Mytilus edulis: one gene and its partner. The protein of the gene in region 2 binds, or shares a complex with, the protein of the main gene of each other region. Links are inferred from orthologs where the notes say so. Each region holds a gene or a part of one and is shown on either strand. Other genes may lie near its edges.

What was found.
Region 1: kinesin-like protein KIF11 (region 2) and histone H2A deubiquitinase MYSM1-like share a complex: the UniProt entries of both Homo sapiens proteins name them as parts of the large chromatin remodeling complex. The link is inferred for Mytilus edulis from reciprocal best matches to the Homo sapiens genes KIF11 and MYSM1.

Annotation. Positions count from the first base shown.
Region 1 is NC_092344.1:113,159,722-113,177,144, forward strand, and holds the start of histone H2A deubiquitinase MYSM1-like, read right to left. Parts: upstream 8,713-17,423; 5' UTR 8,661-8,712; coding exon 8,608-8,660; intron 6,237-8,607; coding exon 6,146-6,236; intron 3,681-6,145; coding exon 3,507-3,680; intron 2,974-3,506; coding exon 2,875-2,973; intron 1,987-2,874; coding exon 1,032-1,986; intron 302-1,031; coding exon 118-301; intron 1-117. UniProt on the Homo sapiens protein: Metalloprotease with deubiquitinase activity that plays important regulator roles in hematopoietic stem cell function, blood cell production and immune response.
Region 2 is NC_092347.1:26,020,256-26,037,883, forward strand, and holds the start of kinesin-like protein KIF11, read right to left. Parts: upstream 9,380-17,628; 5' UTR 9,302-9,379; coding exon 9,243-9,301; intron 6,815-9,242; coding exon 6,587-6,814; intron 6,001-6,586; coding exon 5,859-6,000; intron 5,610-5,858; coding exon 5,490-5,609; intron 1,804-5,489; coding exon 1,679-1,803; intron 1,063-1,678; coding exon 972-1,062; intron 258-971; coding exon 112-257; intron 1-111. UniProt on the Homo sapiens protein: Motor protein required for establishing a bipolar spindle and thus contributing to chromosome congression during mitosis. Required in non-mitotic cells for transport of secretory proteins from the Golgi complex to the cell surface.

The DNA of each region.
Region 1 (17,423 bases), on a different chromosome or scaffold from region 2:
ATGATGTGAGGGAATGTCACTCTGGTCAACCCCATAGGGGATTGACGGCTTGAAGCCGTCTTTCCCCAAAAATGTAATATCTTACTCTGACATAACATTTACAAACAAACAACCTACCAAGAGTCCAGTATAAAATTTCTGATTTTGACGTAACGGTCAGGAGTTTTTGATGGCCGTCCATCAAAGAATTCCAAATGAACTTTTCTTTCTTCTATTGATATAAGATCTGGTTCAATTAATTTTTCCTCTGTTGGTACTGGAAATTCCATAACTTCACCATTAGATAACACAACCATATTGGCTGAAAAAGAGACATAAGTATAGATTATAACATGCCCTTTTCCATATTGGCCCTGGTATCATCCTGAGACTCCCATATCGGCCTTGAGGCTTTAGCCGAGGGCCAATATGGGTCCAGGGATGATACCCAGGCCAATATGGAAAAGACATGTTATAATCTTTTTATCACATATTTAAGTTTTGCAGAAAAGAGAAAAAAAAGTCAATTATAACAATTTAATGAAACATAAAAGGTAAAATCTTACACATTTTATCACAAACGTGTCGTGAAGGACGCGATGACGTCACATCATTTGGAATCAGGGTACAATATCAATATACTCTTTTTTGCCCCCGGCAATTTTGAGGTTATTGCATATGCAAAACCTAAGGTATTCATAACAAATATGTGATAATCATTTATATATTTTAAATTTTCCTGTCCTAAATTGTTTTTTGTTTTGGGGAGGTCAAAAGACTTAAATTATATATATTATAATTATATAGAATATTGTTATATTTATATAAAGTAATTTTTCTTTACACACACTAAAGACACAGGGACTTCTAGTCAAGACTTTAATCACAAGCAAACTTTGTGAGAAAAAAAATCCTATTAACCAAACCATAAAATTTAGTTTTACAAAATATAAATTTCAACTGGAAGCATTATCCAAAAGTCATAGTTACCCTTCAGTACATAAATACCAAGCAATGGGAGTTATACCTATTACCCTTCATTTTTAACATACCTATTCTTTTTTCTACATGCTGACTAGAATCTGATTGGTTTCCTCCCTCAGATAATCCATCCTCTGATGATTCAGAAACCAGGACATTCTCCATTCTCTCTGTGTCACAAGATGATTCTTCCAAGTCTTTTATTTCTTCTGGCATTTCATCTTCTGTACTTTGTATCACTGTTTCTGTCTTGTTACTCTTTGATCTTACTTTAGCTGACTTGAGTAAACTTTCATAAACAGAATTAGGTGATGTTGACCTATTTTTAAGAATGACATTGTCGTCCATTTCATCGTCATCGTTTTCAATGTCAATGTCAATATCTTCTTCATCTTCCTGTCCGTCACCAGATCCACTAACAATGTCAGCTACAGCACAGAAACCATCTAGATTTTCAATGAGCCCTGTAGATTTCTCCAGCTTATGTTCTAATGTTGGACTCAACTGAACGCTGGGTATTGTCACAACTTCTAAAACATCATTTAAACCAATGCTTTCATTGCATGTGGATGTTATATCTCTAGAGGAAATAACCTTCACATTTTTAATTTTGACAAGAGGTGCTTGTTTGGAAACTTTTGGTGGCTTGGAATCAATAATCTCAGATTGGTGCTTTATAACAGTAGCATTATTAGATCTATTTTTCTTATTTTTATTGGCCTCAATCCTGTGTTTTTTCTTCATACTTTCATGTGTCTTTTCTTCCTTGTATCTACTTGTACTCGGGAGTGTTTCTGAAGTTAACATTTTTTCAAGTTCTGTCACTTTTGTTTCTGTCGTATTATTTTCTGTTTTTTCAAGTAAGGAATAATTTTGAGGATGAATGTGATTTTCTGTCTTAATAGTAAAGGTTGAAGCAGATACAGTTGGCTGTGCAGTAGTTACAGCTTTTAACATCTGTTCCAATGTAGAGGGATATGGCTTCTCGTCCGCACACTTTTCATCACCTTTATCCTGACATTTAGTCTGAAATATTATATCATATATATATGTACAATTTAAAACACCATTTAAACTAATTCAGCACTTACAATCTAAGCAAATTGCAATCATTACCAGAGTATGATTATTACAGCTCATCTTCTTTTTCATTTTTCATTAAATGCTAGACTTTAATGCTTGCAATTTTTGTCTGTGGTATACAATGACATTTAGCTAAGTTTCCTAGAAATAATAGTAAATTAAAAAAATAACACAAGACAATACAAAGTAACATGCAAGTCTAAACGACTCAAATTACCTTCATAAAATGACTGATTTGTGAGAACATTTTGTGCAAACATTTAGCATAAATTTCCTTAATTCATTTTGTTTGATTTGAAAACATTGCTCCTTAAGAATTTTGTGACAAGATGACCCTAACTTCAAGAAGAATACAATGAATGCTCTCTTCAACGATATAAAATTTATGACAGATCAAAAAATCTAAAATAATTTTTGTACGGAATCATGCCTTTTTCACTATCTATCTGAATAACTCTTTTCTGACCAATATATAGCTAGACAACAGTTGTGTTTATGTAAATCATTAAAGCTTTTAGATTTTGTCACTTTGTATTTGTTTGAATATGAATTTAGAAAAATAAGCAGTACAGACTAGTATGAAATTTCATCAGGAACCATATAAAAATAAAATCACAATACATAATATGACTTTTTAAAGCAAAGAATCATCAAACTGTTCAAACAGCCTCATTTGTGCAATTGAAGGAATGCTTCTCAGTTGTAGTAACCTGACAACAAATGATAAACAACCTAACCATAACCCAACATGTACAACATTGTAAGTATAACAGGATTAGAAGTCTGACAAAGGAGGGACTAAACATTTATTCTGATAAACTATAAACAAACCTGTTGTTTAAAATATTGTTGTGCAAAATTCTTCACTTGTAGATTTGTTCTGGTTTGAATTAACTCTGCAATTTTTGACCAGCTTCTACCATATACCTCCTACAAGAAAACATCAATGACTAAGATTATAATGTTAATTATGACTTAAAAATAAGGTAAACATATATAATTATATTTCATGTTGATCAATAAATAGTTAATTGAAATGTCTATTTACTGTCTTGCTTGTGCAGCCCTCATTTTAATGTTTTTTTATGTCACTGAAACTGGAAACATCAAGCCTTAGCCTCACTTTCACAACTTTCATTGCAAAAGAGACAAAAAAAACTATGTACAATGATATCTGACACAAAAATAGATAGTGGACAAGTACAATAGGTTGCAAACCAGCAAAACCGAATTAAGTGTTTACATATATCTTCCTGACATTTGAAAAAGGATGGATATTTAAGTCTCAGTAATTGTCAGATTTTTTTATGTCTCAGGTATAAAGCAAATACAAAATGATTAATTATAGTCTGTGTCTTATCCATTTTTCAAATTTCATTCTGAGGAAAACTTGACCCCTAAATATGACTATTGGTGTGTTAATCATGCTAATACTATGAGTATGATAAAATTGTATATCCTACCAATCCCTTATAAAACATGTTCTTTTCTTCTTCACTCCAGGGTTGCTTGTGAGTTGTCAAGTTTCTCATGTTACGCCTACGATTCTGACCATTCATATAATATTGTTCTTCCTGTAACATTTTCTCGATAGTCGCTTTAGACTTCTCATCAATGTAACTATCCATACTCCATCCCTACAATAATGTGTGTTTTCATTTACAGTGTTAATAATGTTTTAATGCAGTTATTTACACAGTAAATCATTGTATGATTTAAAATTCAGTTTTATTAGATAGGTTTTACTCTTTTTTTTTTTTTTTAATTTCTACAGTAGAGATAACAAAAAAGATGGATGTGTTTTTTAAAACATAACATTTATAACTATTAGAGTATTTCTATAAAAGCATGCAAATCAAACCATTGATCAAACATGTATATTTGTTTGGATGTTTGCAAACAACAGGTAGGCAGAGTTTCAGTCTGTATACTATATCCGTGAATTTAATTGGACAAAAAACATTAACAATCCCAATTTATATATCAAACAAATAAACTCTGCCTACTTAATTGATCTTAATTGTTTGCAAACATAGTAAAAAAACATAGTAAAAAAACAGCGAGCAAGTTAATCAAAGATTTGCTATGCATGCTTCTACAGAAAAGCTGTAATGATACAATGAATGTGCAATTACAAAATACATATAATAAGTCTCTTTACCTTTAGCTTTTGTTTATAATTCAAATCATTTATCAGAATATGTACAAATTGTTAACTTTTTAAATATTACATGACTTGGATGTAGAGTTGTTTCATTGGCACTCATACCACATCTTCTTTTTGTCGAGCCTTCGACTTTAGTCGAAAAAGCGAGACTAAGCGATCCTACATTCCGTCGTCGTCGGCGTCGTCGGCGGCGTCAACAAATATTCACTCTGTGGTTAAAGTTTTTGAAATTTTAATAACTTTCTTAAACTATACTGGATTTCTACCAAACTTTGACAGAAGCTTGTTTATGATCATAAGATAGTATCCAGAAGTAAATTTTGTAAAAACAAAATTCCATTTTTTCCGTATTTTACTATAAATGGACTTAGTTTTTTCTGCGGGGAAACATTACATTCACTCTGTGGTTAAAGTTTTTAGAATTTTAATAACTTTCTTAAACTCTCCTGGGTTTGTACCAAACTTGGACAGAAGCTTGTTTATGATCATAAGATAGTATCCAGAAGTAAATTTTGTAAATAAATAAATCCATTTTTTCCATATTTTACTTTTAAATGGACTTAGATTTTCTGCGGGGAACCATTACATTCACTCTGTGTTTAAAGTTTTTAAAATTTTAATAACTTTCTTAAACTATCCTGGATTTGTACCAAACTTGGACAGAAGCTTATTTATGATCATAAGATTGTATCCAGAAGTAAAGTTTGTAAAAAGATTACTCCGTTTTTTCTGTAATTTACTTTTAAATGGACTTAGATTTTCTTACAATCATAAAATAGTAACAAGAGGAATATTTTATTGATTTTTTTCCTCATTGTTGTTGAGTCTGCGATTTACAGCAAAAATAGGCGAGACACTGGGTTCCGCGGAACCCTTACAAATTTTTTATAAATACATGTACTAACTAATTCATTGTTTAAGTGCAACATATGATAATATTTGTGCGAAGAAAAATTACTTGAAACTTTACAAACTCTGTCTATGAATGTTTCAAAAAGTACCATTGTCAATGAATTACAACTTTCTTTTTTAAATTATCCTTATCCTATCATGAAATGTTAAAACAACTGATGTTTTGTACTAAAAGGTTCATCTCAATTTATATATATCTCACTTTGGTTCAGAAATTCCCAGATCTGCAGAGATATATTTCAAGACAATACATATTTACTGTGATGTGTACTCCTATTCTTATGAAATAAAAACCTGAATCCAATTCATAAGGGTCGGCAGGGAGTTCAAATTTATCAAAAAATTATATTTTATGTTTACACATGAATTTTACTTTCCTGAGTCTGTTGTTTTATTTTTATTTGAGTGTTTTAAGATGGAATATAACACTACAGGGAGATAACTCTGTAAAAACCAGCTGAATGTGTTAATCTACTTCTATCTATAGGCAATATTATTTAAGCTTCTCAGTGATCAAAATTAGTGTAAGCCAAACTGATACAATGTATACCGGTATATCCAATGAATTTTTTTTTGATGAAGTGTGTGATTCAAGTTTTTATTTTTTTTTATTCTCTTGTCAATGGGTCCAAGTAAATATTTTGTCAAATTTCATGAAAATTAAACAATCCAAATCATTTTTCGTCAAGGTGTTTGGTATCCCCTATTTTGACAATTTTAGCTATTGTGTCTGTTTTGTTTACGCATCGTTGTAAATATAATGAAATTTGGTGTGACTGTCATACAAGTGAGAGGTTTAGCGCTATAAAACCCGGTTCAATCTACCATTTTCTACATTCATTGACATTTGAAAATGCCTGTACCAAGTCAGGAATATGACAGTTGTCCAATTGTTTGATGTGTTTTATCATTTGATTTTGCCATTTGATTAGGAACTTTCTGTTTTGAATTTTCCTCAGAGTTCAGTTTTTTTGTGATTTTACTTTTTAAATACAACAACTTGTGCAGTCATATACTCTTTACCTGTTCAAGCATCCATGCTGGATTAGTGTACTCAGGTAGCAAATTAGCACTTTTGGATGGAAGTTCATTTGTATCGTAAACATCGTTTGCCCTGAAAATATACACCACAGATTACAGCAGAAATTCAACTATTTCATTTGTAAATATATGCATTGTAACACATGCATAACAAAAGACATAAACAAAAGCTACTATCTGACAAAAAAAATAATATATGTCTGATTAAGGTTACATCATAAAAAAAGGGTTGGTATTACTTGATTTATTTCACTTAGCAGGGTTAAACAAATAAGCTTATCATAGACCAGTCCATCTACAGACAGGTGTTTAGGATAAATTCATCAATGAAGTGTCCAGTCATACATGTAGTCATATACATTGATTCTGTTAAAATATGTAACCTTATATGTGTGTTTACAATGTAAATAATGAGACAAACACGTTGATTTTGTTGTTAAATTAAGTATAAAATCATGTTAAAAATGTCACATTTAAACAATTGTAAATATATAATGTAACTATGACGCTTACAAAAAAATGCATTTGTCGTTATTCTTCTATAATGTTCATATATACTTTTGATTCCTTTTATTTTAAATGAATTTTTTTTTAGGACAGGATAAAACTTTTTGTAGGATTTTTTAAAATTTTTATAAATTTGTAGATTTTAATCTATTTTATTTTTCCCATTTCACAAAATCAATTCTTTAGGCTATCAGTTTGGTGACTATGATCTGATGATAGGTGATAAGAAATCAGTAATTATGATTGTAATGGGAATCATCCTGATCACACACATCTTCAAATAAACAGTAGGAGTCCTTATGCAAATTAAAACTGTAAGCCCCGCCAATTGAAGAAAAACATTGTTAATACATCAGTATTTCTATCTTATTTTTCAATTCAATTTTACTGTTGTGTCTTGATTTCGAGTCCTGTGGTCCATCTTGCCATGGTACAAGTTGTTTATGGGTCAAGTTAACCCATATTTTTTATGATTGAATTATTTCCCTTGATTATTGTTCTTTTTTTATAGGGGAAGGGGGAGGACAAGAAAGAGTTTATTTCATTCCATCAGTCAGTTGCAAGTTTCATTAAACCAGCTGCCATATTTATGATTCTGAACATTCCCACATTGAGCAAATTTGATTTAATTTATTGGCAATCCTATATTCGCTTTTGACATCAAGTTCAGTTATTATTTTTTTTAAATAAATTTGTGACGGATACAAAATGACAGAATCGGTTCTCAAATTAGGGCCAGTTGGGTAATTGTTAACAAACATGTACTTTATTGGTCTTCCAAGTTTGAAACTATAACGTTCATACATAAATTTTTAATAAAGTACATGTGAGTTAGTTTACGAGAGTGAAAATTGTACATGCGAGAATTTAATATTTACTTTTATTATAGTCTGCTTACATGATTTATTAAATTTAAAAGATTGTAAATATTCTTTTAGAGATATACTGGATATACCACATGTAAAAACTACACAGTTTGGTAAGAAAAGTTTTAAATTTGCAATTACTACTCTGTCGAACAGCCTATCTGACCATTTTAGGACTGAAAACATTTTTTTCTTAATTTAAGAGCCTTATACAGTCTTGGAATGGTTCAAATTGTTGTTGTCCTGCATGTAGATAAGCTTTTTCATATTTTAAAAGTTGCTTTAACATGTAAGTATGCCTTAAATGTTTGCATGTGTGCTATATTTTTATTTGTGCTTAATTTTCAGTTGTACCTAAATTTTAGTTGTGCTTTGGCTTGTTTAGATATGTATTTTATTAGTGCTTTGCATGTATTTCAATATGCCTGTGCTGTTATATATCTTGTCTGCATATTGAATTTATGTTAATTTATATACGGTAAAAAGCTCTTCAGAGCTTATGTTTGTATTGTTACATGTGAACCGAATCAAAATAAAATTTCATATTTGTATAGAGACAATCCAGTGTCAACAGTGACACCTACAGAATACCATAAACTGGACTTGGAGGTAATCCGAATAATTATGATGTCTCGAAAGGCTTTTATATTTTTTTTCTTTGATGCCTTAAAGTCCCTGTAAGGGGTCAAAGCAATAAATTATGAAAGACTTTCAAAATGTCATAATTATTTGGACTAGCTTAGAGAATGCCGATTCTTTTAGGCCAGAGAGTTCAACTACAGGATTGATTTAGCAACTCGTCCATTTATATATCTGTTTACTGCGAAAAGTCAACTGCCAAAATATGCTGCCATTGAAAAAATGCACTTTTCAATATCTTTTACTTAATTTAGATTATGCTATTTTCTAAAAAGTACAGACTATACACATTTTGTTTTTCGCAAGAAGATGTCAGTTTTGTCAGTTGTCAGTTATGTTATGTAAATTAAAAAAAATATGGTTTGAGCAATTATTTGAAAAATTTATAGGACAATGCTTTATGTGTTTTTATATTGACAAAACGATGCTAACTCTAGTTTAAATTCAAAATCTCCTTCGATGTCGATTTCTCCGTCTTCTGCCATTATTATTTTGATGATTTGTTTCGAATAAAGATAATATATGAATAAAACTATAGTTAAAAATAATTATACACTTTTATGATAATAAATTGGAATATACATTATTATAGTAACTCTCCTTTTAATAATAAACTATTTCATACGAAACTTCGGCTACAAAAAGATTGCCGATTAATTAAACCAAAACAACAACACGTGCGTGCTATGTAAACTCAACTATACAGTAAGTATTGGACATTTACTGTTAAAATTATAGTTACAAACAACGAGATATTGACTTAAATCAAGATTTTGAGAGATACTCACGAACTCATTTGCTTTAATCACAACGAATGTATAAAGTATACTCAGAAAAGGGGGAGTCGTGCAGCTGTATCTCGACTTGATTCTTGTCAGTGTTGAGATATTCAGGTCTCAAGGGACCAAAACCTCTAGCTATGAACTCAATAATTTTTTTGACCAGTTTGAAATCATGCGATGCACAGATGTTTTTGTGGACCAAAGGCAAAGTAAGATGTAAAGAAATCAGAAACATGGAGCTTTAAAATGACATCCTTTAGTCACTAAAGCCTTTACTATTGGTAGCATATAAAAAAAAAGATGCAGATACAAATTACAATCATATCAATAATGGTTAATACCCAACAGTCCTAGTCAAAATAGTTATGACGTCTTCAAAGGCTATTATACGTTTTGCTTTGACGCCTTACAAAGTAACATCGGCCGCTGGAAGGTGTCAAAACAAAAAAAAACATAAATATAAAGCAATTGTTTTGAAAACAATTGTTAGGCAGTCTTTCCCCTCTGATGAATGGATAATTGGGTTTTTTTATTGATTGATTTGGAAAAAAAGGGGGGGGGGGGGTATTTGTTTGTTTGTTTGTTTTTGTAAAGGGTCTATATTATTATGTTACCGGAGAAGTTTCATGTTTAGTTTGGAAAGTTTTTCTTTTATTTTAGATACAGCGCTGCGCGCAATATTGAGGAGACATCACGTGACGCGGGTTTATATTAAGAAAAACTTAGTCTTTTAATTTCTTTTTAGGTCGGGACCTTGAACAGACAACATGTCTAGAGATGGAATGTACACAATGTAATTTCTTTTGTCATTGTAGGAAATTGACATTTTGATCACAGTTCACCAGCAGTGCATGTTTTGGATTTAATCGATCCGGTGTAACTTTAAAACACATTTAATGATTATTTTTTGATAATGTCCATTTTTCAGCACCTGTTTGTAACACAGATTAGTATTTCAATCTCGGAGCGGACATTTTATTGTAGGTTTTAACTGAGATTTACGGACCTAGCAAGCGATTTTTACGGCATTGCCATTTCTTTTTTCTAGGAAAAGTCTTGAGAGATATCTGCAACCAGTTTTTTTATGAACCTTCAATACATGTATGCCCTGCTGACAGTAAATTTTCAGGTCGATTGGACTTGTAGTTTCAGAGAATATGTGGATTTTTTTTTCAGAAGAGACGTAAGAACAATAATAAAATAAAAATTTTCTTGAATAATTGAGAGTTTGTTCCTTCAATATACTGTCATAAAGAAACAGTCATACATATTGATTGATTGATTAGTTGGTTGATTGATTGGTTGGTTGGTTGGTTTGTTGGTTGGTTGATTAAACACGTTTGATAGGGTCACTTAGAACAAGGGAAAAAAACCTCAAGAGACCTTGCATCCCGTATTAAACGCATGACACGGAAACATACATTAAGTGATTGATTGGTTGGTTGGTTGGTTAAACACGTTAGTTAAACATGTTGATTGAATACGTTGGTTAAACACGTTGGCTGGTTAAACACGTTGGAAAGGCTCAATTTAAACAAGCGAAAAAAAACATCTTGGATCCCGTATTTAACAAATGAAACGGAAACATGCATTGATTGGTTGATTGGTTGGTTGGTTGGTTAAACACGTTGGTTAAACATGTTGGTTAAACACGTTGGTTAAACACGTTGGCTGGTTAAACACGTTTGATAGGCTCAATTTAAACAAGCGAAAAAAAACCATCTTGGATCCCGTATTTAACACATGAAACGGAAACATGCATTGATTTATTGGTTGGTTGGTTGGTTGATTAAACACGTTGGTTAAACATGCTGGTTAAACACGTAGTTTAAACACGTTTGATAGGCTCAATTTTAACAAGCGGAAAAAAAACATCTTGGATCCCGTATTTAACACATGAAATGGAAACATGCATTGATTGATTGATTGGTTGGTTGGTTGGTTGGTTAAACACGTTGGTTAAACACGTTGGTTAAACACGTTGGCTGGTTAAACACGTTAGATAGGCTCAATTTAAACGAGCGAAAAAAAACATCTTGGATCCCAAATTTAACACATGAAACGGAAACATGCATTGATTGATTGATTGATTGGTTGGTTGGTTGGTTGGTTGGTTGTTTGGTTGGTTGGTTGGTTGGTTGGTTGGTTAAACACGTTGGTTAAACATGTTGGTTAAACATGTTGGTTAAACACGTTTGATAGGCTCAATTAAAACAAGCGGAAAAAAAGAAACCTTGAATCCCGTATCAAACACATGAAACGGAAACATTGATTGATTGATTGATTGATTGATTGATTGATTGATTGATTGATTGATTGATTGATTGATTGGTTGGTTGGTTGGTTGGTTGGTTGAAATTCAAACACTCATAAAACTGTTTAAATAGTGCCAAAACCACATGATTTGATGACCTTGACCTTTGACCTTGTGACCTTCGTCAAGGTCATTGCTCCACAAGGTCATTGCAAAAGACCCTATGGGTCAAGGACCTTTTGTTTAAGAGTTTTGCCTAAAAATGGCTTTTTAAAAACCATCGATGGGAGTAATGTCCCTTATATGATGGTAAAATCAATATAGTCATAATGTAAAAAAGTTGCCCCTTAAAGTACCAAGCATTTTTCACTGCTTAATTTTTTTGTATCTATAACCGTTCAAGAATTATAGGGAAATGAAAAACTTATAAAAATCTAAAATATGACCTTGACCTTTGACCTTGACCTAATTTTCTAAGTTAGGACCCAGGGGACTCAAATAAAAACATTCCAGGGTTATACGGTTAACGGTTTAGGACTTTAAAAAACATACCGACAAATTTATTCCGTAAAGGTAGATAACTCCTATAAAATTTCATCAAATCGCTTCGATCCAAATACGCCAAAAATTTCTGAGGATGTAACGAACAGTTTGGAAAAAGAATTTTGTCGCTTTCTTATTTTGTTACGAAGGAGATGCACACAGAGGATAAACAGTGAAAGGGGAGATAACTCTTACATAGAAAATGGTTCGCCTTAGCAGGGTGAAATTTAAAAGCGCATAAACTATACGATACCATATGAGAAATATCTAAGCGACATATTGCGAAACAAACATTTTGCGCAAGAACAAAATTTGGCGGAAGAAAAAAATAATAATAATAATTAAAAACCAATTGTTCAGAGAACAATTGAAAGTCTTTCCACACCAAAGTAATTTGGATAAGAAGGTAGTTTCTTTATACTGATGCGAAAAATGATGGTTTAATTATCTTTTTGAGTGATATAAGGGAAATAATATGCTACTTCCGGTGAAATGAATGTCACATCCGGTCTCATATGATAGCTTCTTTCACACTGATTCCAAAAATATAGTTTCTCTATACTTTTGTATGTAGAATGGGAGATAATTGGCCACTTCCGGTTTGTTGGAAGTTATTTTTAGTCTTCAGTAATCTGTTCATGTATCTATATGACAAATAATATGGATTCTGAGTACTTTTATGTGAAAAAATTGCAAAAATAGCTACTTCTGGTTTCCTAAAGGTCACTTCCGGTAGTCATTTTTCAAGGTCATTTGTCACTTAACTTTTTGTATAAGGTCAAATGTCTTTATAATGAACTTAATTGAAGTTATAATCAAATAACTTCATATCAAGACATTTCAGGGGCACCAACTCCTATAAGATGCCATTTAATTGTATAAGACTAAATGTAGCATATCTTCATTACAATAAAGCTGATATTTTGAACTTGTTCTTTTATATGTATCTCTCAAAGTGTCGGAGAAAATGCAAAAACAAGCAAAAGTCACAATTGAGAACTTGACCTTGACCTTTGACCTTGACCTCATTTTCTAAGTTAGGACCTAGGGGACTCAAATAAAAACATTCCAGGGTTATACGGTTAACTGTTTATGAGTTAAATAAACTTACCGACAAATTTATTTTGTAAAGGTAGATAACTCCTATAAAATTTCATCGAATCGCTTCGATCCAAATACGCCAAAAATTACTGAGGATGTAACAAACAAGTTGTAAAAAGAATTTTGTCGCTATCTTTTTTTGTTACGGAGGAGATGCACACAGAGGATAAACAGTGAAATGGGAGATAACTCTTACATAGAAAATGGTTCGCCTTAGCAGGGTGAAATTTAAAAGCGCATAAACTATACGATACCATATGAGAAATATCTAAGCGACATATTGCGAAACAAACATTTATCGCAAGAAAAAAATTTGGCGGAAGAAAAAAAAAAAAATAATAATAATAATAATTAAAAACCAATTGTTCAGAGAACAATTGAAAGTCTTTCCACATCAAAGAAATTTTGATAAGATAGATTCTTCATACTGATGCGATAAATGAATGGTTTGATTATATTTTTGAGTGATATAAGAGAGATACTATTCTACTTCCGGTGAAATGAATGTCACTTCCACTCATATGAAAGCTTCTTTCACACTGATTCCAAAAATATATAGTTTCTATATACTTTTGTATGTAGAAGGGGAGATAATTGGCCACTTCCGGTTTGTTGGAAGTCATTTTTAGTCTTCAGTAATGAGTTTATGTATCTATATGACAAAATACAAGGATTCTGAGTATTTTGATATGAGAAAATTGCAAAAAAGGCTACTTCCGGTTTTCTCAAGGTCACTTCCGGTAGTCATTTTTCAAGGTCATTTGTCACCTAACCTTTTGTACAAGGTCAAATGCCTTTATAATGAACTTAGTTGAAGTTATAATGAAATAACCTCATATCAAGACATTTCAGGGGCACCAACTCCTATAAGATGCCATTATATTGTATAAGTCTAAATGTAGCATATCTTCATTTCAATAAAGCAGACATTTTGCACTTGTTCTTTTATATGTATCTTTCAAAGTGTCAGAGAAAATGCAAAAACAAGCAAAAGTCACAATTGAGAACTTGACCTTGACCTTTGACCTTGACCTTATTTTCTAAGTTAGTACCTAGGGGACTCATATAAAAACATTCCAGGGTTGTACGGTTAATGGTTTATAAGTTAAAAATACATTCCGACAAATTTATTTTGTAAAGGTAGATAACTCCTATAAAATTTCATCAAATCGCTTCGATCCAAATTAGCCAAAAATTCCTAAGGATGTAACGAACAATTTGTAAAAGGAATTTTGTCGATATCTTTTTTTGTTACGACGGAGATGCACACAAATGATAAACAGTAAATAGGGAGATAACTCTTACAAAGAAAATTGTTCGTCTTCACAGGGTGAGATTTAAAACCGTATAAACTATACAATACAATATACAAAATATCTAAGCGACATATTGCGAAACAAAAATTTCAGAATGTGGCGGAAAAAAAAAATAATAATAATAATCAGAAGAAATACAATAAGTCTTTTCACAAAAAAGTGAAAAGACTTAATAATAATAATCAGAACAAATACAATAGGACTTTCCACAGAAAAGTGGAAAGACCTAATAATATGGAAAAAACTGGAGTTGTCGTTCGTTTTACGTTGATAGAATAGATAGCACACAACCTACATGCAGTTGTAAGTGGAGGGTTAAAAAAAAAAAGGGGGGGGACAAAAGGGGGTCTCGGGAATTTTTTTTTTTTTTTTTTATTAACGGAACAGAATGGTTAAAAAGGTTTTTTACAATATAAATCAATTGCTTTAAAAAAGCAATTGTAGGCGGTCTTTCCCCCCTTTAAAATTAATTGAATTGGGGTGGGGGGGGGGTTGTTTGTTTGTTTGTTTGATTGTTTGTTTGTTTGTTTGTTTCTGTATGGGGTCTATATTATTGTTACCGGAGAAGTTTCATGTTTAGTTTGGAAAGTTTTTATTTTATTTTAGGTACAGCGCGCGCGCCAGATTTAGGAGACATCACGTGACTTGGGTTTATAATAACGAAAACTTAGTCTTTTTATTTCTCTTTAGGTCGGGACGTTAAACAGACAACATGTTTAGAGATGGAACGCACACAATGTAATTTCTTTTGTCATTGTAGGAAATTGACATTTTGATGACAGTTCACAAGCAGTGCATGTTTTGGATTTAATTGATCCGGTGTAACTTTAAAACACATTTATTGATTATTTTCTGATAATGTACATTTTTCAGCACCTGTTTGTAACACAGATTAGTATTTCAATCTCAGAGCGGACATTTTATTGTAGGTTTTTACTGAGATTTACGGACCTAGCAAGCGATTTTTACGGCATTGCCATTTCTTTTCTCTAGGAAAAGCTGGGAAAGATATCTGCACCAAGTTTTTTTATAAACTTTTAGTACATGTATGCCCTGCTGACTGCAAATTTTGAGGTCGATTGTACTTGTAGTTTCAGAGAACATGTGGATTTTTTTTTCAGAAGTGACGTAAGAACAATATTAAATTTCATTTTTTCTTGAATAAATAAGAGTTTGCTCCTTCAATAAACTCATGAATAAACAGTCATACAGATTGATTGATTGATTGATTGATTGATTGATTAATTGATTAGTTGATTGATTAGTTGGTGAGTTGGTTGGTTGGTTAAACACGATGGATAGGGTCAATTGAAACACGGAATAAGACACAAAGAAGATCTTGGACCCTATATTAAACACATGAGACGGAAACATGATTGGTTGATCATGATCATGATTGATTGATTGATTGATTGATTGGTTGATTGATTGATTGATTGATTGATTAGTTGGTTGGTTGGTTGGTTGGTTGGTTGGTTGGTTAAACACGATGGATAGGGTCAATTGAAACAGCGAAAAAGAAACAAAGAATATCTTGAACCCTATAATAAACACATGAGACGGAAACATGATTGATTGATTGATCATGATCATGATCATTATTGGTTGATTGATCATGATCATGATTGATTGATTGATTGGTTGGTTGGCAAACACACATTATATTCTTCAAGTAGTGCCCCAAATCACATATGTACATGACCTTGACCTTTGACCTTGTGACCTTTGTCAAGGTCATTGCTTCACAATGTCATTGCAAAAGACCCTATGGGTCAAGGACCTTTTGTTTAAGAGTTTTGCCTAATAATGGCTTTTTATAAACCATCAATGGGGGTTATGTCCCTTACATAATGGTAAAACCAATACAATCATAAAGTAACAAAGTTGCCCCTTGAAGTACTCAACATTTTTCACTGCTTAAATTTTCTGTATCTATAACCATTCAAGAATTATAGGGAAATCAAAGACATATGAAAATCTAAAATATGACCTTGACCTTTGACCTTGACCTAATTTTCTTAGTTAGGAATCAGGGGACTCAAATAAAAACATTCCAGGGTTATACGGTTAACGGTTTATGAGTTAAAAAAATATAGCGACAAATTTATTCCGTAAAGGTAGATAACTCCTATAAAATTTCATCGAATCGCTTCGATCCAAATACGCCAAAAATTACTGAGGATGTAACGAACAATTTGTGAAAAGAATTTTGGCGCTATCTTTTTTTGTTACGAAGGAGATGCACACACATGATAAACAGTGAATAGGGAGATCACTCTCACAAAGAAAATGGTTCGGCTTAGCAGGGTGAAATTTAAAAGCGCATAAACTATACGATACCATATGAGAAATATCTAAGCGACATATTGCGAAACAAACATTTATCGCAAGAAAAAAATTTTGCGGAAGAAAAAAAAAAAAAAAATAATAATAATAATAATAATTAAAAACCAATTGTTCAGAGAACAATTGAAAGTCTTTCCACATCAAAGAAATTTTGATAAGGAGATTCATTCTGATGCGATAAATAATGGTTTAATTATATTTTTGAGTGATATAAGGGAGGTAATATGCTATTTTCGGTGAAATGAATGTCACTTCCGGTCTCATATGAAAGCTTCTTTCACACTGATTCCAAAAATAAATAGTTTCTATATACTTTTGTATGTAGAATGGGAGATAATTGGCCACTTCCGTTTGTTGGAAGTCATTTTTAGTCTTCAGTAATCAGTTTATGTATCTATATGACGAAATTCATGGATTCTGAGTATTTTGATATGAGAAAATTGCGAAAAAGGCTACTACCGGTTTTCTCAAGGTCACTTCCGGTAGTCATTTTTCAAGGTCATTTGTCACCTAACCTTTTGTACAAGGTCAAATGCCTTTAGAATGAACTTAGTTGAAGTTATAATGAAATAACCTCATATCAAGACCTTTAAGGGGCACCAACTCCTATAAGATGCCATTAAATTGTATAAGTCTAAATATAGCATATCTTCATTACAATAAAGCAGACATTTTGCACTTGTTCTTTTATATGTATCTTTCAAAGTGTCAGAGAAAATGCGAAAACAAGCAAAAGTCACAATTGAGAACTTGACCTTGACCTTTGACCTTGACCTCATTTTCTAAGTTAGTACCTAGGGGACTCATATAAAAACATTCCAGGGTTGTACGGTTAATGATTTATAAGTTAAAAAAACATTCCGACAAATTTATTGTTTAAAGGTATATAACTCCTATAAAATTTCA
Region 2 (17,628 bases):
GTTAAAACAAATCAATTTATGTGTCTGAAATTTTTCAATTACCTTTTAAAAGCCAAAAAGTTTAGAAATTGTCCTGAAATTAAAAAAAAATAAAAGAACATTTAGACTAACCTGTAAGGTATATGAGGAGAACGTTCTACAAGTGAGGTAATCACACGCCCTAATGTTAACAAACTTTGGTTAATACTGCCTGCTTCTCTAGCCCGCTTGTCTACAGCTCCTGATCGACCAATGTTTTCACTACCAGCCAAATCCACCTTAAAAATATTTTTTTATTATGTGTCAAAGGACAAAAGCTATGATCTATTGATGACAATTTAATAGTTGAAAGCTTTTTTTGGGGGAAAAAGAAGACAAATTTTAATCTACCAATAAAGATGGATCAATCCCGACGGAAACTATTTGTCCTGAGAATATTCTAGGCTGAATAAAACTGGATATTCCAGGTCACAATTATGACTAACCTGGTCTAACCTAATATAAACCTCTACCAATAAACCAAATATAGTTTACATTAGCTTACATTAACTGAGAAACTGAAATAATCAAGGTAAAGGGTAACCAATGGCATATAAAACCTTCTGAATCTCGAGTTAACAATGATAATGGAAGAGGGAGGCTGATAAATTGTTTAAATGCAAATGTGTTTCCCAAGAAAAAATGGGTTTGAGATGAGACAAAGCATGTTTCCACTGAAAATGAAGGGTGGGGGGATTATACATGGAGTTTGAAAAATGGTTTGTCAAACAAAGATAATGGTACCTTAAGAAAATCATTCTATTGATTTAGAGAAATTTGAGATTTCTACAGATGTCATTATTCTGCAGTTTAAAACAGCGTAACAATAGGCTAAATAAGGATATTGAAAATGATTGATTGACTATTGGTTGCTTAACATATCAGTATTTGAAAAGCTGATTGAACAAAAACTTATTCCTAATCAGACAAGAAATATACTGAGCAGTACTTACTAAATTCAGCTTTCCTATCTTTAATAATTCTTCTCCTTCAACCGTGTTTTCTTTAATGTGTATAGTAACTGAGAAGACTGTATGTGAACGACTGTAAATAGAAATATTATTTGATATACTGACTATAGTGTCATTATTGTGTTTTAAGATTTTGTTTTAATCTTTTAATTAATTCCATCTATAATTTGACACACTTTCATCAAACAAATAATGTTTTTCTCTAAATATTGAATGATCTGTGGTCTTGTGTTAGTATGCTCATCTCTGGAACAGCGGTCATTTGTTTGACCTTATAGGTGAAATAACAAAACATTTCTTGAAGCTTCTCAATGCATGAACCATTTAGAATTTTATGAGTGAAGAAAGACAGACAAGATAAGATATTTCTTTGTTCTACATTTGTTCATTAATGCTATTTGAACATTTTATTGCACACAATTAGAATGTGCTTCAAAAATGTGGTCTTTGAGTAAACTCTCTTTAAAAATTCCCACATTGAATTAATTAAATCATTTAAAGTGAAAACCCTGTGACTGGAACAATGAAATATATAATTTTCATACAAAAAAACGTTTTTGAGCAGAAAGGGGATGTGGGTAGGAGAAATGAAAAGAGGAAGTTAGGAAACAGTTCAAGAGATGATTTTTAAGGGAGGATTAAATATTCACCCATTTTAGTAATTTTATCAAGATTTTCAGTTATCTCACCTTGAATGAGCATTCATCAGTGTAGCAGCCGTTTGTCTTTTGGCAGATCCTCTTTCTATTATTTGAAAAACTTCATCTTTAGATCTTACAACCACTTCTTCTAATCCATTAATGATAACTGATCCCTAAAATATGTCAGTAAATAGTAATTAACATAAAAATTTACTCCATCATTTTTTTGTATTTGATAATAGAGATTTTTTTCATATACAAATGGCACAAGGTTTACTTATCATGGGTGGTGAAATTGGGATTTCAGGGCTCACACTACTTCAGAATTATAGGGAGAAGTGATTTCTCTTTTTGAAACTGATAGGGAGAAGTGGTGAGATTTGAAAGAGAAGTGCTCATTCGTGCGGTGCGCTGCAATGTTTGGATTTTACAATAGTATAAAGGGCAATATATGTAAATAATGTTCTTTTTATATTGTTCAATTCATATCTAAGTAAAAAAATTACAATTAAAGTTACATTTGAAATTAAAAGTTGTTAAAGTTTTACTAAAGTTCTTGTGAAAAACTACCAACCAGGGTTTCCCCTGGTCAATTATTTTTTTCGCCACCTCTTTCGCCAAAACAATATATTTATCGCCACTTTATTATTTTTTTCGCCAGGTAACATAACTATATTTTTCGTTTAAAATTTACCTTTTTACTTACACCCCCTTTTTGCCCCATTGTGTCTATGCTTATTCTGTCAAACTTATTTAAGAGTCTACATTTAATGAATAAACACTAAACATTTACTTTAAAACAACAGATTTTGTTTTTAACATAAAAGGGAAAAATATTCATTGTATTTTAAACAACTTTTCTAAATGAGGGGGCCACTATACTTTTAATAATAAAGAAGATATAAGTCCTGGAATACAACAAAATTAATGGACATTTTTTGATTATATAATACCAGTATAGTTCGTAGGGAAAGTTTCTTTAAAAGAAAAATATTGATGTGCCCTTTTGTACTAATAAGTGGTTTTTACAACAAAACAAAAGCTTTTATCACATGATATTTTGATCCCTCATTTGATGTGTATTCATAACATTGAAGGGCTACTCTCATTCGAGGGGTTGTTCCCAAACTTTTGGGTAGATTTCTTTATAATGACAGTTTTCTTTTCTTGACCATCGTAAATGAAAAAGTTGAGACGTAAAACTATGCTTGAAACACACGTGTCACTCAAACGACTTTAAAGTAGTCTCCCTAATCAATTACCTATATTAAAGTCAAAGGATAATTAAAGTTTTAAATCGGAGATTTTTCTTGCTTTTGATTTTTTCGTCACAACAACAGCTTTCTTTTCTAAACTATCTTTAAAAGGAGAGGAGACGTCAAAAGTTTGCTTCAAACACGTGCGTCGCAAAGTGGTAAATAAATTCTGTATGTGACATTTAGCGGAAGCCACTTAACTATATCATTTTGACAAACAATTCAATCAACACCTTTATTAATTAGTCCTTTGATGTCGATAGCTATAAAATGCAATCAGCTGATTATTGATTTTCTGTCCAAATCTTAATGAGGTCAAGGTGAATTCCGAGTATTGTCTGATCGGGTACAGTCCGAGAAACTCGAAAAAAGTAAATTAACAAGATGGAGGTAAACAAATCGTTCTATATATATTTCTTTCGCCAAATTCTTTCGCAAATGACGAATTTTTATCGCCACAATTTTTTTTTTAAATTGCGAAAATGGCGACCGCCAGCGGAAACCCTGCTACCAACTATATATCTAGCACTAAAAAAAATAATAAAAAAAATAAAAAATGTAAAGAAATTATTATATATCAATTACATTTTAATTTAAAATATCTTGTGTATGAAATTCAGTGTTTCTAATAAAAAAATATAAAAGTTATTAAGCTGGGCCATAATATATTGATATTAGTATGATAGTCTCAGAGTTAAGCAACTTTAATCAATAGTTTGAAACAATCCATAAAAAATATATGGAATTATATACACCAATCAATTAGATCATGTAGATGTAACCAAAAGTCTCTTTATGCGTGTTGAATGCGTAATTTTTCCCTCTGGGATCAATATTCTTCTGTCAGCTGTTCCATCCGTTCGTCCGTAGTAATTATTGCAAAAGTACGGATTTCGGTCATAGCTGCCCCGGTTCAGATCCGTAGTTTAGAAATCGGTCAATGGCGGACGAATGCAAGAAAATTTACAAAAATAAACGATGTTTGACAAGTTATTTGGAAAGGAACATGAAGTTTTTAATGCAATAAATGGATTAAAAATTTACTGGAGGCAACTTTTATCACGTTTAAATAAACTTATTTTGACGCCGAAATTCAGGTTGATGTACGTTTTCGAGTAACAAGCACCAGAACTTGCAGAAATGCATGAAGTGATAAAAAGTTGTATTTTTATCAAATAAACTGCTACACACTGCGAAGACAATGCTTCAACTTCTTTTCTAAAGATAATGAATCGTGTATGTCTGAATTTCTTTAATTATCAATAAAAAACTGATGTTTCATCAGCTTGGTAAAAATTGAAAATGTCTGATGACGGAAGCGACTGAAAGCGAGTATCGTCATGGACAGGGCGACTTGTTTTTCGCTTTTGGGGGTCGGGGAAAGCGAAGTGACGGTCGGGAAGGCGACTTCTTCGCCCAAGTCGCCTGGTAGCGTGAGCCCTGGATTTACTCTAGATAATAAACATCTGTGTAATCAAAAGATACTGGACGAGAACACAAATCAGAAGTCAACAATGATTACAATGTTTCACCCTTTATTACTAAATTAAAATGTTAAAATGAATCTGGGAAGGCTCTGAGTTGTTTTAACCCTTTCACTGATAGCTGCTCAGACAGAAGCTACTCTGAGACGGTGGCTTCCCTGGCTACTATTACTCAAGTTGGAGATCTTCATAATAAATGTCAATAAAAACTTGTCTGTAGTTATTTGTGTCTTTATTTCATTCACTAACACCATGTTCACAGTTTTGTTCATGTTTTGATAATTTTTTCTTCACAAAATATTCAAATTTTCAGCATTATCTAGGTGAAGTTCTTAAAATTCTGCTCTTTGGCCCCAAATCGTATTTTTTTTTACCCAAAACGGCAAAATATTGAAAAACTTAATGAGGCTGTACAAATTCCTTACACTGAACGATGTCCATTCCAAGTGTTTTGTACAAGAAACAACATTTTATGTCAAAAAAGTATACTAGTTTGACTTCAAGTCTTCCATATTCTTTAAAAAAAAATGTTCCCTCATTTCAAATTCTCGTAAATTCCTTAAATTTCCTCTGATTTTGACACGGTTTTCAACAACGAAAGCGCCATGTTAACACTTTCATCCAGGTATTCAACAAAGAAAGATAACTCATGTTTGCACTGTTTTTAGCCGGAAATATAAAAGAGGTATTACAATCCCAGTAAAACGGGACTCATCGGCGAAAGGGTTAATATTTATAGCATGGTCAAAAACCATAATTTCATTTTTCAAGTATTTATTTTCTTTATAATCATCCTTCAGTCAATTGAAAGGAAATAATCTGACAATGCTGTTAAACTTAATTTTACTTTAAAATATCTTGTATTATATATATATCGTTTAATCCAGTGAAAAAAATGTTTGGAGGGCCACCTTTGTACATTGAACTACATTTGTGAAAATTTCCAAACAAAAATATATCTTGTGTCAAAGATATACTGTTACCATTCTGAAGAAACAAACCCAGAGCACTAGGATTCTTGATTTTCCCTTAAAACACTGTGCAATTTCATCTTGTGTCAGTTGTAAGCACAAAATAAGACAAAAAATTTCAAAAACATAATTTCTTCAAACAACAAACCTTTCTAGAACTGTCTTCATATATTTTGAGTCTAAGTGGGTCGTCTGTAGATCCTAACAGATCAAACAATTCTTCATTGTACAATTCCAGAAAAGACACACGGATGGAAAACTCAACATCCTTCAAAACAAACAAATTAAGTAAGAAATAAATAAATTAATAGCTTAGATAGAGAACTAAAACTGGAAATAGTCATGTTAACAACTAGTTTAGCAAAGCAGATTTTTTAAAAATAAATTCATTTCTACTTTTACTTGTGATTTAAAAACAAATTTTGTTGCAATGTATTTCATAAATTTGGGAACATTAAAACCAAACACAAGTATCGTCAGCAGTTGAAAGTTTTCTACACTTAGTTATCGCTTTTACCTGTCTCTGAAGTCTCTCAAAGATATGAAACATAGCTCTAGGTATGATACCAGCCAATGGGTCTTCTTGCCAGGATACACTGGGGTCATCACTTCTCTCTCCTTCCATTGTATATGTCTTTCCTGTACCTGTTTGTCCATATCTGAAGGTGAGAAGCAAAAGATCTTAATAATGAAAAATGTTTTTTAGATGAGACTGCTGACTGATCATTACTGTTTGTGCAAGACAAATCACATTTTCCAATGCTTGTTTAAACTCCATATATATGTTCTCAAAATTGTTCATATAACTTAAACATGTGCAATTTCAATTTAATAAACTGTAGACACAGATAGATCCCTTATTGTATATTAATTAGTATAATGCAAAATGTTGAAATTAAAATGGCAATATGTAAACATTCAAAGAAAATGAATCATGACTGAAGGTCATGAAGGTGTAGGACCACATAATCTTCATGGAAGTGAAAAGTGCCAATGCTTATAATAATTACAATGAAGCATTAATTGACTTTATAAATAATATCAATATCATAAATGGTTCTCTTATTTCATTTTGACCTCTTCAGCTGATTTTTAAGATAATGAAAAACTAATCCAAGAGGGTTCGTAAAATAGTACCAATGAAGGTTATTATCATCAATGGTTCCTTTGGAAAAATTACTCATTCTTTGCATACATAAATATACATTCTTGTTAATTAACAGCCAGATTATTGTTCAAACATACGCAAATATAGTACAGTTATATCCCAGTAACACTTCTTCAATAATAGGTATAACAATGCTGGTATAAACATGAAGCTGAGAGGCTGCTGGTGGGAAGACATGGTCAAAATTGTAGGTCTTTGTAGTTGGATTGATTCCTAAGCGTTCTTTAACTGTTATCTCCTTCTTGTCTCCATTGGAATCAACAACTGAATAGGAGCCTTGCCTTTTTTCTGAAGAGTTTATACCCCTGAAAATAGATAAAAAATAAATGTAAATTACAAATGAATTACAAAACTGAAGATTTCTTAGAAATTGTTGGTCTTTTCACAAAAAAATCTTAACACTTAAAAAAGTCTTTCAATCACTCCTGAAAGTGAATTATATTTTTTTTTGCCAGATTTCCCTGCAAAAATTTAATTTACACATGTTTGCCTGACTGGAATTATTATAACATTTGCTGCAGCAAAAAATGACCTCATAGTTTTCATAATTGAAATCTCAGGAACCGTAGCAAATATTGTATGTTATTTTTATAGAAAGAAGAAAGCAACACAGCTGCCTGAGCTGGTTGACCGTTTATCAACTTTTCCAATAGAAAAAACAGTTTACCTTTAAAAAACTTGTTGATAACAAAGGTAGATGGAGTCTGTAGATAAGTTCTGGCTTTGCATCAGTGTATATCACGTTGATTTACATTCAGCAAAATTATATGTATTAACACAAACAAATGTTTCATAATTTTATATTTTTATTGTGGCACTGAATCATTTAGCTTCATTAATTTTATTTTTTTCTTGTTCAGGAAAAATTTTGAAACCTTCCAAGAGGGAGGTCTCTCTCCCAGCTATGACAGCTGAGGGGGAGATATTTTAGCAGACATTTTCAAGTCACAAATGTAAATGTACAACATGTTTGCGTATTCAAAACACCAATAAGCATAATAAGAGTTAATAAATATATACATTATTTTTTCAATTCATGGTTATAATCTACACAAGGTGTTTTTTAAGCCTTTATCAATACCTCAGACTCATAACAGTCTAAATTTTGATTTTGTTGGGAGGCTTACACTAAGCATGCTTCCAAACATTGTACAGACCACTTAGTAGAAGAAATCCAAAAGTTGATTGTACATGATGTGCAAGAAGATTCATTGCAAAGTGAACTTTGTCGTAAAAATTGAAAATCTCATTCAAATCTGCTTGACATAAAGATTTGTAGTTATCTATTTCTTTTTTACACTGATCCAGGCAAAGACCTCTATCTTGTTGGAGTTGACATAGCAAACCTAAATTTCGATTACTTATAATATAAAACATTTGACCAGTTTTCAAATGATTATCGATTGTTTATTTATATCTATTGAAAGTAATGGAAAAACTAGAGAATAATGAACACAGGTTATCTAGGTCAGCAGGATATTATTCACTCCTGCACTGAAGCGCAGCAGCATTGGTAGCAAGGCACAAATCCAGAGTAACCCTATTAAAATTCTATTAAAGCTCGGGAAACCTTAGTCCGAGATTACTCTGAGGTAAGTAAAAAAAGTAAACCTTCCTCTTTTGATTATATATTGCACAATCATGTTTTAGAAGCAGTAAAAGACAGTAAATATTTAGGCGTAACTATAAGCCATGATCTTGATTGGGGAACACATATAAACAATATTACCTGTAAGGCAAATAAAACATTAGGTTTTCTTCGTAGGAACTTGAAAAACTGCACACGTAAGGTTTGAAACCTTACATACACATCACTTGTCCGTCCAGTCGTCGAATACTCTTCCCATGTCTGGGATCCGTACAAAAAACAACACATCACTCAGGTTGAGCAGGTACAGCGTTAGGCAGCCAGGTTTGTCTTCAATGATTATAAAGACAGATCACCTGGAGCAGTTTCAAATTTAATTAAATCTTTGGAATGGGAAAATTTAGAAATAAGAAGGAAAAAAACTATGATGTATAAAATAAATTGGGTGTTAGTTGAAGTTCCTAAGGACAATTTAACAATATCTGATGGACGTACATGTACTTGTGGGAAACATAAATTTAGGCAAATATCAACAAATAAAGATTTCTATAAATTTTCATTCTATCCCCGCACTATTTCCGACTGGAATTCACTACCTGAAGCAATAGGTATGTTGACAACCTGGAATCCTTCAAAAGTGGCATATCCACTCTAACATTTGAAGGATCAACAACAACTTATTAAACTACAAAGCCACTGTACATAAATTATGTATGTATATGTTATTGTAAACGATTTTTCTTTGTCATATTATTTTTAAATTAAGTCCATATGTACATAGCACACAAGTTCTGGGAAGTTTTACACTCCAACCTAGGAGTCTACTCCCGTATTCGGAAGAAGAAGAAGAGGTACAACTGCTGTTTTGCCAGACAAGCTGGGGTCGCCACAGCCCCAGTTTGTCTGGCAAAACAGCCGTTGGACGTCAGAGTAATCTCGGACTAGGGTCACCTGTACGTCCATAGCATATGTTGTCCCTTAAAAGACCCCTCCACAGTAATTGCACTAACAGGACTCACAAAGATTCATTCTGTATTCTGTATTCATGTGTGAAAAGCTGAGAGCCTGAGTTTTGGGCGAGTTGGTTCCGGGCAATTTGGCAATCGGTTGAGTTCTCACTCTTTTGTAAAATAAAAAAGTTTTACCTGCAACGAACTGCAACTTGTATGTGTTGATTCTTATCTTTTTCAGTTTTAGGCTTCATTTTTAAACAGGAAAACAATAAACATTCGAATATGGTGGGCTTTCGAAACAACCAATGAGAAATAGGGGCTTAAAAGAACGCAACCAAATTTTTGATTGGTTGATACTTATATTATTTTAAAATAATAAATTATTACAAACACGGACAATATTTCCGGAATGTATGGGGTATAACAAAATTGTGCTATTTTCAGATTCATATTACTGTATAGCTATTCAAGGTCGTTAAACACTTACAGTTAGTTAGATTCATATTTTACCGAGCTTGTTTAGAAGATACACGAGGTAAAGAAAAATAAAAAAATGTAAGATTAGAAAAAAATCTGAAAAAATATAAGTGGTCTAATCTTGAAATATTAAATGTGAAGATAAGCCATCAATCCTTATGAATTGCTTTTAGAAATTAAAAGAAAAAAATGGGTGACCGTACTTACTTTCTTGCTCTTTTTTTTAGCGAAAAATAAACGTTACAAACATTCCTTTATAACTTTGTGTTAATTAACTTATGCCCCTTTATAACCGACCAATGATTACTATACAAATCCTTGATAACACTATAGAATACAGATAATATTTTGACAAAAAATAGTGAGATTTGTAAGAAGGCCTCTATCAACTTAATGTTCTAAATTGTATTGGTAGATATCTGAACAGACTTTTCGCCATAGATTTGATTATTAACTTTTTTTCTCTTTTTTTTTCTCTGAATCATTGCCCAGCTACCTGGCAAGTTTGAAGTGGAAAAAAACACAATTAAGATGTAAAAATCCAAGAGAGAGCATTGATGATCATTGGTATTTGTTTATGAGGATTTTGAAACTTGGCTCATCTGAAGATGTTTTACACACAGCCCGCTGGCAAAATTTCCACCCTTAAAGTCAGGAGATTAGGGCCAATAACTAAATAAACTTTTAATATCAACCACAAATAGTGTCCATCATATTTTAATTTTACATGATTTGATTAATATAAAATAAAAAATTCCTTCAGATATAGAAATATAGTTGAAAACTACACAAGAGTTTAAGCGAAGAACCGTGAAATGCAATTTAAACCAATTAAAAGTTCTAAACGGGGACTGGGGGCTGCACTTATCGTGTAGTGATTGCTTACGGTACTTTTCATATTTCGGCATAGTATACATTATTCTAACTTCTTCATATCCTTTATATTGTATATTGCTATAGGAACATGTGGTATGAGTGCCAATGAGACAACTCTCCATCCAATTCACAATTTATAAAAGTAAACCATTATAGGTCAAGTTACGGTCTTCCTGCTGGACTGAATTTGAATAAAGCTGATATATACTAACAATGGAAACTGTCCTGTCCTGTATTTTGATATCTAAATTTTAAACAGGAAGCTTAATACTAAAGGTTTCGATAAAAAAAAAGAAGCTTTTACGTTTTCTATGTTAATTATCCATTTCCATGTCAGGACCTTTATAGTTTACTCTAAGATATCGGTTTGCTCATTGTTGAAGGCCGTACAAAGATCTCTAGATGGTAACATAAACTCATTTGGTCTGTGGTGGAAATTCGTCCCATTGCCAATCATTCCACATTTTTTTTTGTATCGTATTTGTTGTTTGTTGTACGCAAAATGTGTCAGCAGGTTTAAATCGTAGAACCACAGACGTCTGGCGATTGTTTACGTTCTTTGGCATGCAGAATAGTGAATGGACACCTGCATGCCCATTCTTCATCAAACAGGAAGGGGATATGAAATAATTTGATTTGAAAGGTATGATCATTCTTCACTAAACAGACAGGGAATATCATGTAATTTGATTTGATATATTAAAAAAAAATAAAATGATATTACAAATCGGCTTGTCATATAAATGCATTTGTCATCAAGTCTGGCGACCAATAAAGACTCATTTGAGACTTTAGTATTGTTCGTCTAGTATCTTTTGTCGAAACATTATTGTAGTGGACAGATAAAAATCATGTCCTTTCCTCTATCAATTATAGAAGTAATTTATCATTGATAGCAGCATAACGTCAGTAGTTCAGACCTTGAAGTCATAAAACTTTCGAGTCTGTTTTTTGTTCTCATACTCCAAAACCAACCAATCAAAATGCCTGATTTCATGCTTGATCTTGCAAATCGAGTACAAGGAGCATACTCCTGGTAAAGAAACCCACATTAAGCGAATATGTACGAAATTCTTTTATACTCTTTTATAAATCAGAAACACCAGACCTTCCACATGTGAGAACAACTGCATATATACGGCCTACATAGTTTAATATTAAGGTATGCAGGTTTTAAACATACTCTTGAATGAGCTGTAAACTGTGATGCGTAAATGATATAAAGAAATTGGCAAATACTTGGTCTGGCTTATCATGCCGATGTTTGCCTGCAAAACTAGTTTTTCTGTTGAGGCTTTTTTTGCATTGTTTTCACCTTGTCAAAATTTGTTCTGTTTCATGACAGTGCTTCTGCTTTTTTTGTTAGCTTATTTTAGTTACTAAACTACTATCCATAAGCTTTCTAGCTCATCTTTCCAAAGGAAAAGTGAGCTTTTGTCGTCTGTTGTCGTCCGGACGTCCGAGCGGTGTAAACTATTTCAAACATCTTCTCCTCTGAAACAACTGTACAAATTCCAACCAAACTTAAGCTGAATGATCTTTAGAATATCTAGAATAAAGTTTGTGTTTTGTTGTCAGTTTCGTACAAAAAAATATGGCCGCCGAAGCTAAATATAGAAAATAGGGTAAAATGCAGTTTTTGGTTTATATCTAAGCATTTAGAGCAAATCTGACGGGAAAAATGTTCGTAAGGCCAAATTCTATGAGCCCTGAAATTTTTAGATGAACCTAACAACCCAACTACCAATTTAGTGGCATCATCCCAACCATTGCTGCCCCTAAATTGGTAATTATAAGGAAATTTTGCAGTTTCCTGTTATTACCTTGAATATTCTTATAGATTAAGATAAATTGTAACAGCAAAACTGTTCATCAAAGTAAGATCTACAAATAAGTTAATATGATCAATTAACCCCTCTAGGACTTATTGTTCTTTAAGGACAATTTTACACAATTTGTTTATCATGTTTTCTAACGTTAAAAAAACTTTTCCTCTGAAACTACTAAACCAATTTACACCAAAGTTTTACATTGTCATTTCGGGGCCTTTCATAGCTGAATATGCGGTTTGGGCTTTGCTCATTGTCGAAGGCCGTACGGTGACATATAGTTGTTAAAATATCTGTGTCATTTTGGTCTCTTGTGGAGAGTTGTCTCATTGGCAATCATACCATATCATCTTTTTTGAATTAAGGTGAATGATTCTTGGGTTATCTAGAAAAAAATGATTTACTTTTTGTTTCCTCCGAAAACATGGCCGCTACGGCTTTAAAAAAAAATCTTCTTTTTTGAAACTGTTGAACGAATATCCGCCAACACGGTTGATGAGGCCTCAAACCTCTAAGTATACCTCTAGCCAATGTAGAATAAAAACAAACTGACAGAAAAATTCACAGTTAACTCAGTTTAAAAGAAGTCCGATTCCGATGTAAGAAAAGGTATCAGAAGAAACTAAGTAAAATGACAATGATCAACATAAATTAACAAAGAACTACTAGCAGTTACTGACATACCAGCTCCACTCTTCAATTAAACTAATTGAAGTTCTTTTAAATCGCCATATTGAAAATTTGCTTTTTAAACAGATAGGCCATCGACAAGCTTGAATCAGGACTTCATTTAAATAGTTCTAAATCCGTTAATACGTTTATTGCATGATTAAAGCAACAACTTCTCATTAGAAAATTGTTTTCTCTGAAATAGTGCAGCTGAGTGAATACGTCAGATACTGACTGGTTTTAATGGAAATGACTGCAGCACAGAGTATGAACTGAATATAAACGTCTTTTACACTTATTAGCATATTTCAGCAACAAAAATCAATGATTTGATACAATGGAGAGAATCACAGAATGAAACGGCAGTGAGATGCCAGTCAAACCCGTGCAACTCTCTGACACTGAGACCTTCTTTTCTTCAATGATTAATGAAATAATTTATCAGTATTCGGTAATGTCGCATACAATATAAACCTAATCTTTCAAAGATTGACAAGTTCTGATTAAATAATACTGGTCGATATCATGCAGTGAGAATTACACGTTTAATTTGACACAAAAAGGTGATAATTGTTAAATAAAGATGTTTGGAATTCTTTCTTCCTCACGGAAGGGCTATCTGGTGAGTCAATAAATGTCTTGTACGGTACCGTGATGTTTTTCTGTTCATATACGCTAAGCAAAGATTTGATTGGACTTTTGTCGTCTGTGAAATATGCACTTTTAAAAAGTTAATGATATTAATAATGATAATAATGAATATTTTCATAATAATTAATAACAAACAAACCTGAAGTACAGATATTATACTTGAATGAAGGCAAGAGTAGTTTACCCTAGAGTTTACCGGTGTTCTGAAATCGATTGAGAGAAAACCAATCCAGGTCACAAACTAAAACCGAGGGAAGCACATCAACTTATAAGAGGAAACACAGGAACACCGAAGTGCAACAAAAACAAACACTAACATTAGTAGAGGGAACTGCCATATTCCTGATCTAGTATAGGACATTTTACGAAATAATAGGGAGTTGCACCAGGTTTAATGGCTAGCACAGCATTCGGCACAGAAAATCAACAAATAATATAAAAGTCGACCGTGACAACATGCTAACCACAGAACAACAATGAACATATTCCACCAACGACAGACACCACAGGGTATCAGAACCAGTGACGCGTTTACGTAACTTACATGCTATCTTGAATTTTATACTATTATTTTCACAATATTTTTCCAAACAGTTTTCATGACAATGATGACACTGAAAGGCAGATTTATAAGTATTTGGACTACAAACGATAAGACATAACACATTATACAACAGAAGGCATAACAGAAACATCAAAAATAAATACATGAATGTTGGATGTATAAAACAACGAGACACGTCGTATAGCAATGTAAATTCACTCTCTGTATAACTATCTAAGACGTCGTAAAATGTCTTTAGTTATATATGTTAGACACAGAAACATCGTATAGATCAACCAATTCTTGATGGTGTCTATAAATTTACGGAGTGAACTAGATCACTAGATGGGGAATAAACAAGACACCAATCGAATATATAGTCAAACAAACCAAAAGCAGACACCGACAAATCATGAGTATGAGGGATCCGATGTAAACACAAGGAAATCGACAAGAGCATTACCAAAAAAGAACACATAGAATGATTCAATTATAAAGGAGTAAACTTCACGGTGTATGGAAAAAGAAAGAAGGGAGAAACATTTACGGAGTACTAGTATATCATTATGATAACTAAAGGCGATTGTCCCATTACCTTTTCCAGAAAAGTAAAATCACAAAAAAATAACGAACTCCGAGGAAAATGCAAAACGGCAAGTCCCTTATCAAATGAAAAGAAAGTTCTGCAGTGTGCTAACCCATTCGTGGCATCTAGTTTGAATTGAAGTTTATAAGTTTAGCTTATAACATTAATGTCTTAAATCATATTTACAATAAGGGCTCTTGTTCGTGCAGTCTTAAACATGCCCAGACATATTTTATTTAATATGACATTCCCAGCACAACGTACACAATTCTATTTATATGCGAATTTATGCATCACAATAAGCTAAAGCATGTCTACTAAGTTTAACAGTGATCATTCATTCTAATTTGCTGAAACACATTTTAGTTCTTTCCTCGTCGGGATTCGAACTCATACTATTGGTATATCGGGACAACATAGCATGAACTGTGTCCAGCAATCTAGTATCTGGACCAGTCCACCTGGCCATGTAGACTGCACTAAAACTCAGATTTCGGTGGCCTAGTGTTACCCTTTCGCGTCAGTAGAATCTAGAGTTATAACACAGTGCATGATATACCGGATAAGGCATGGAAATATACTTGATTTCAGATTTGCTTTATCATCTGTCGTAAAGAATCGTAAGATACAATCACAGAAATATAATGTGTGACGTTCATATTGTTATTTAATTTTAGTACTGGAAGATCTACGGTGTGTTAACATTTTCGTGGCAGCTAGTTTCAATTGAAATTTATAAATTCAGCTGAAGGTCAAGGAATAGTAAATGGGCTACTAGTGTGTCACAGATTTTGCTAAAATTCTGCATACAGCTTTGGCTCGTTGAACTACAACTGAAAATCGAAAAAAAATAATGCATTCATCGAATGTTTACCCGGCCCATTTTTAAATAATTCAATTAGTAATATTTCAAATGATAAATGAGATAAATCCATTATTTTTTCGATTTTCAGTTGTAGATCAACGAGCCAAAGTTGTATATTTTTTTTACTGAAATCTGTGAAATAGCTCATTTGCTGTAACTTGACCTTAACATAAATGTCTCTAATCATATTTACAATGTGGGAACTTATCGTGTAGATTTATTAAAACATACTCCGACACTTTTTTTTTTTAAATTTATTTGACATCCTAAGCACAACGGACTTATGTCTACTTATATGCGAATTTATGTATCACAAGGAGATAGACTGGGATCCCGCTATATATAATCACCTTGTTGATATATGAAATATGTAATATGCACATTGATCTAGACAGGCGAACCAGTCTACACAAGGAGATAAACAACAATTTCTTAGTTTTACAGCAGTCATTCGTTCAAGACAGCCTCTTGTTTTTTCAGTTTCGAGACTTGTAGAAAATTGAATCGGTGGAGGACAAGGGGATGATCAGAGAAAATAACAGACCTTAGATGGAAACTGACAATCCTAGTCGAAAGCACTGGCTTGCGTCATTCGGGATTTATACTCACAAACCCGACGATAAGTCTTGTTTGGAAGATAACAATCTATGGGGAAAAGTGGACAGGATTGTGGTAACAACAATTGGAACATATCCATCGTATTTGTTAAAACAGATATTCAAGAACGGTCGAACAAATCGTGATGGCGTCCATAAAATTTTCGAAGGAATGATTTCAACTTCTCAACTTAAAAATCTTGGATAGATCGTTTCATTGGTTGTGACCAGTTAACCTCTATCAAGTAAATTACGATAGGAAATACAAGCCGTAACACATATTATCAACTGAGAGATATATAGTCAGTATGCAGGATCTGCTGAAATATTACAACATAGGAATGTAAAGTTAACAATTGGAAAGCTTAAATCATCTTCTTTTGTTGTAAAGTTTTGTTTTCAATCGACCCTTTTTGTCAATTTCTAGATTTAAGTCAAGATTTGAGGTAAATTTAACTGTATCTGTTATATCCTTTATCTCAAGTTGGATTGGATAGATACATTCAACCGTTAGTCACCAAACTTTAAATTATTAGGTTAGAGATCATCTATATAGTGGAAAGAGAGGTTAAAGATTAATGTTAATACCCTTCTTTTTCTTCCTATTAAGAAGCTACTGTGTGAAATTTTGGAGGAAATTATCTGTCCATTGTTTTAATTTAGATATTCCCTCTTTTCATGTCTACGCTATATTACTTTTTTTACTTTTTTTTTTATATAAATTTAATATAGTTGTCCTAAATTATAGGAATCTTACAGACCTGATGTCTGAGGGAACTGTATCTCCCATCGTGTATCATTTTTTAAATTTGTGTTTGAAAGGTTATTTTCCTCCAAATAAGATTTGATGTTCTTACTTTTAGTTTAGTTAAACTCATCATAGATACCATAATTGAAATTTTGTATATGCTTCAGACGCGCGCTTCGTCTTCAAAAGACTCATCAGTATCTCTCGAATAAAAAAAGATAAAAAAAGCCAAATAAAGTACAAAGTTGAAGAACATTGAGGACCAAAAATTCCTAAAAGTTTGGCAAATACAGCTAAGGTAATCTATTCTTGAGGTAGAAAAGCAATATCAGAGTCACAGATGTTTCTTAAATTTGAAATGTTTTTTTTCTTTTTGAAAACATGTTTGTTGGTCAATGGTTTACAGTATTGTATGTTATTTTCGTTGCTTGTGTTGATGCAGAAGTAACAAAAATGAGAATCAGGGAACGATAGAGAGAGATTACTCTTCATATTAGGTTTTGTTAAGTTGTAAAAATACCAAACTCCAAAACGAAAAGTCCGTATTCAAATTGCAAAATCAAAAGCTCAAACGTATCAAACGATTGGAGAACAACTGTCATATTCCTGATTTGGTACAGGCATTTTCTTATTTAAGTCAGTGTGCTACAATTATGGAATCTTGAGAATAAACATAATTGGGAAGAGAATATCTGTCTGTTTCTTAGGACGTTTGCGACTTTAATTGTATTTTAAGC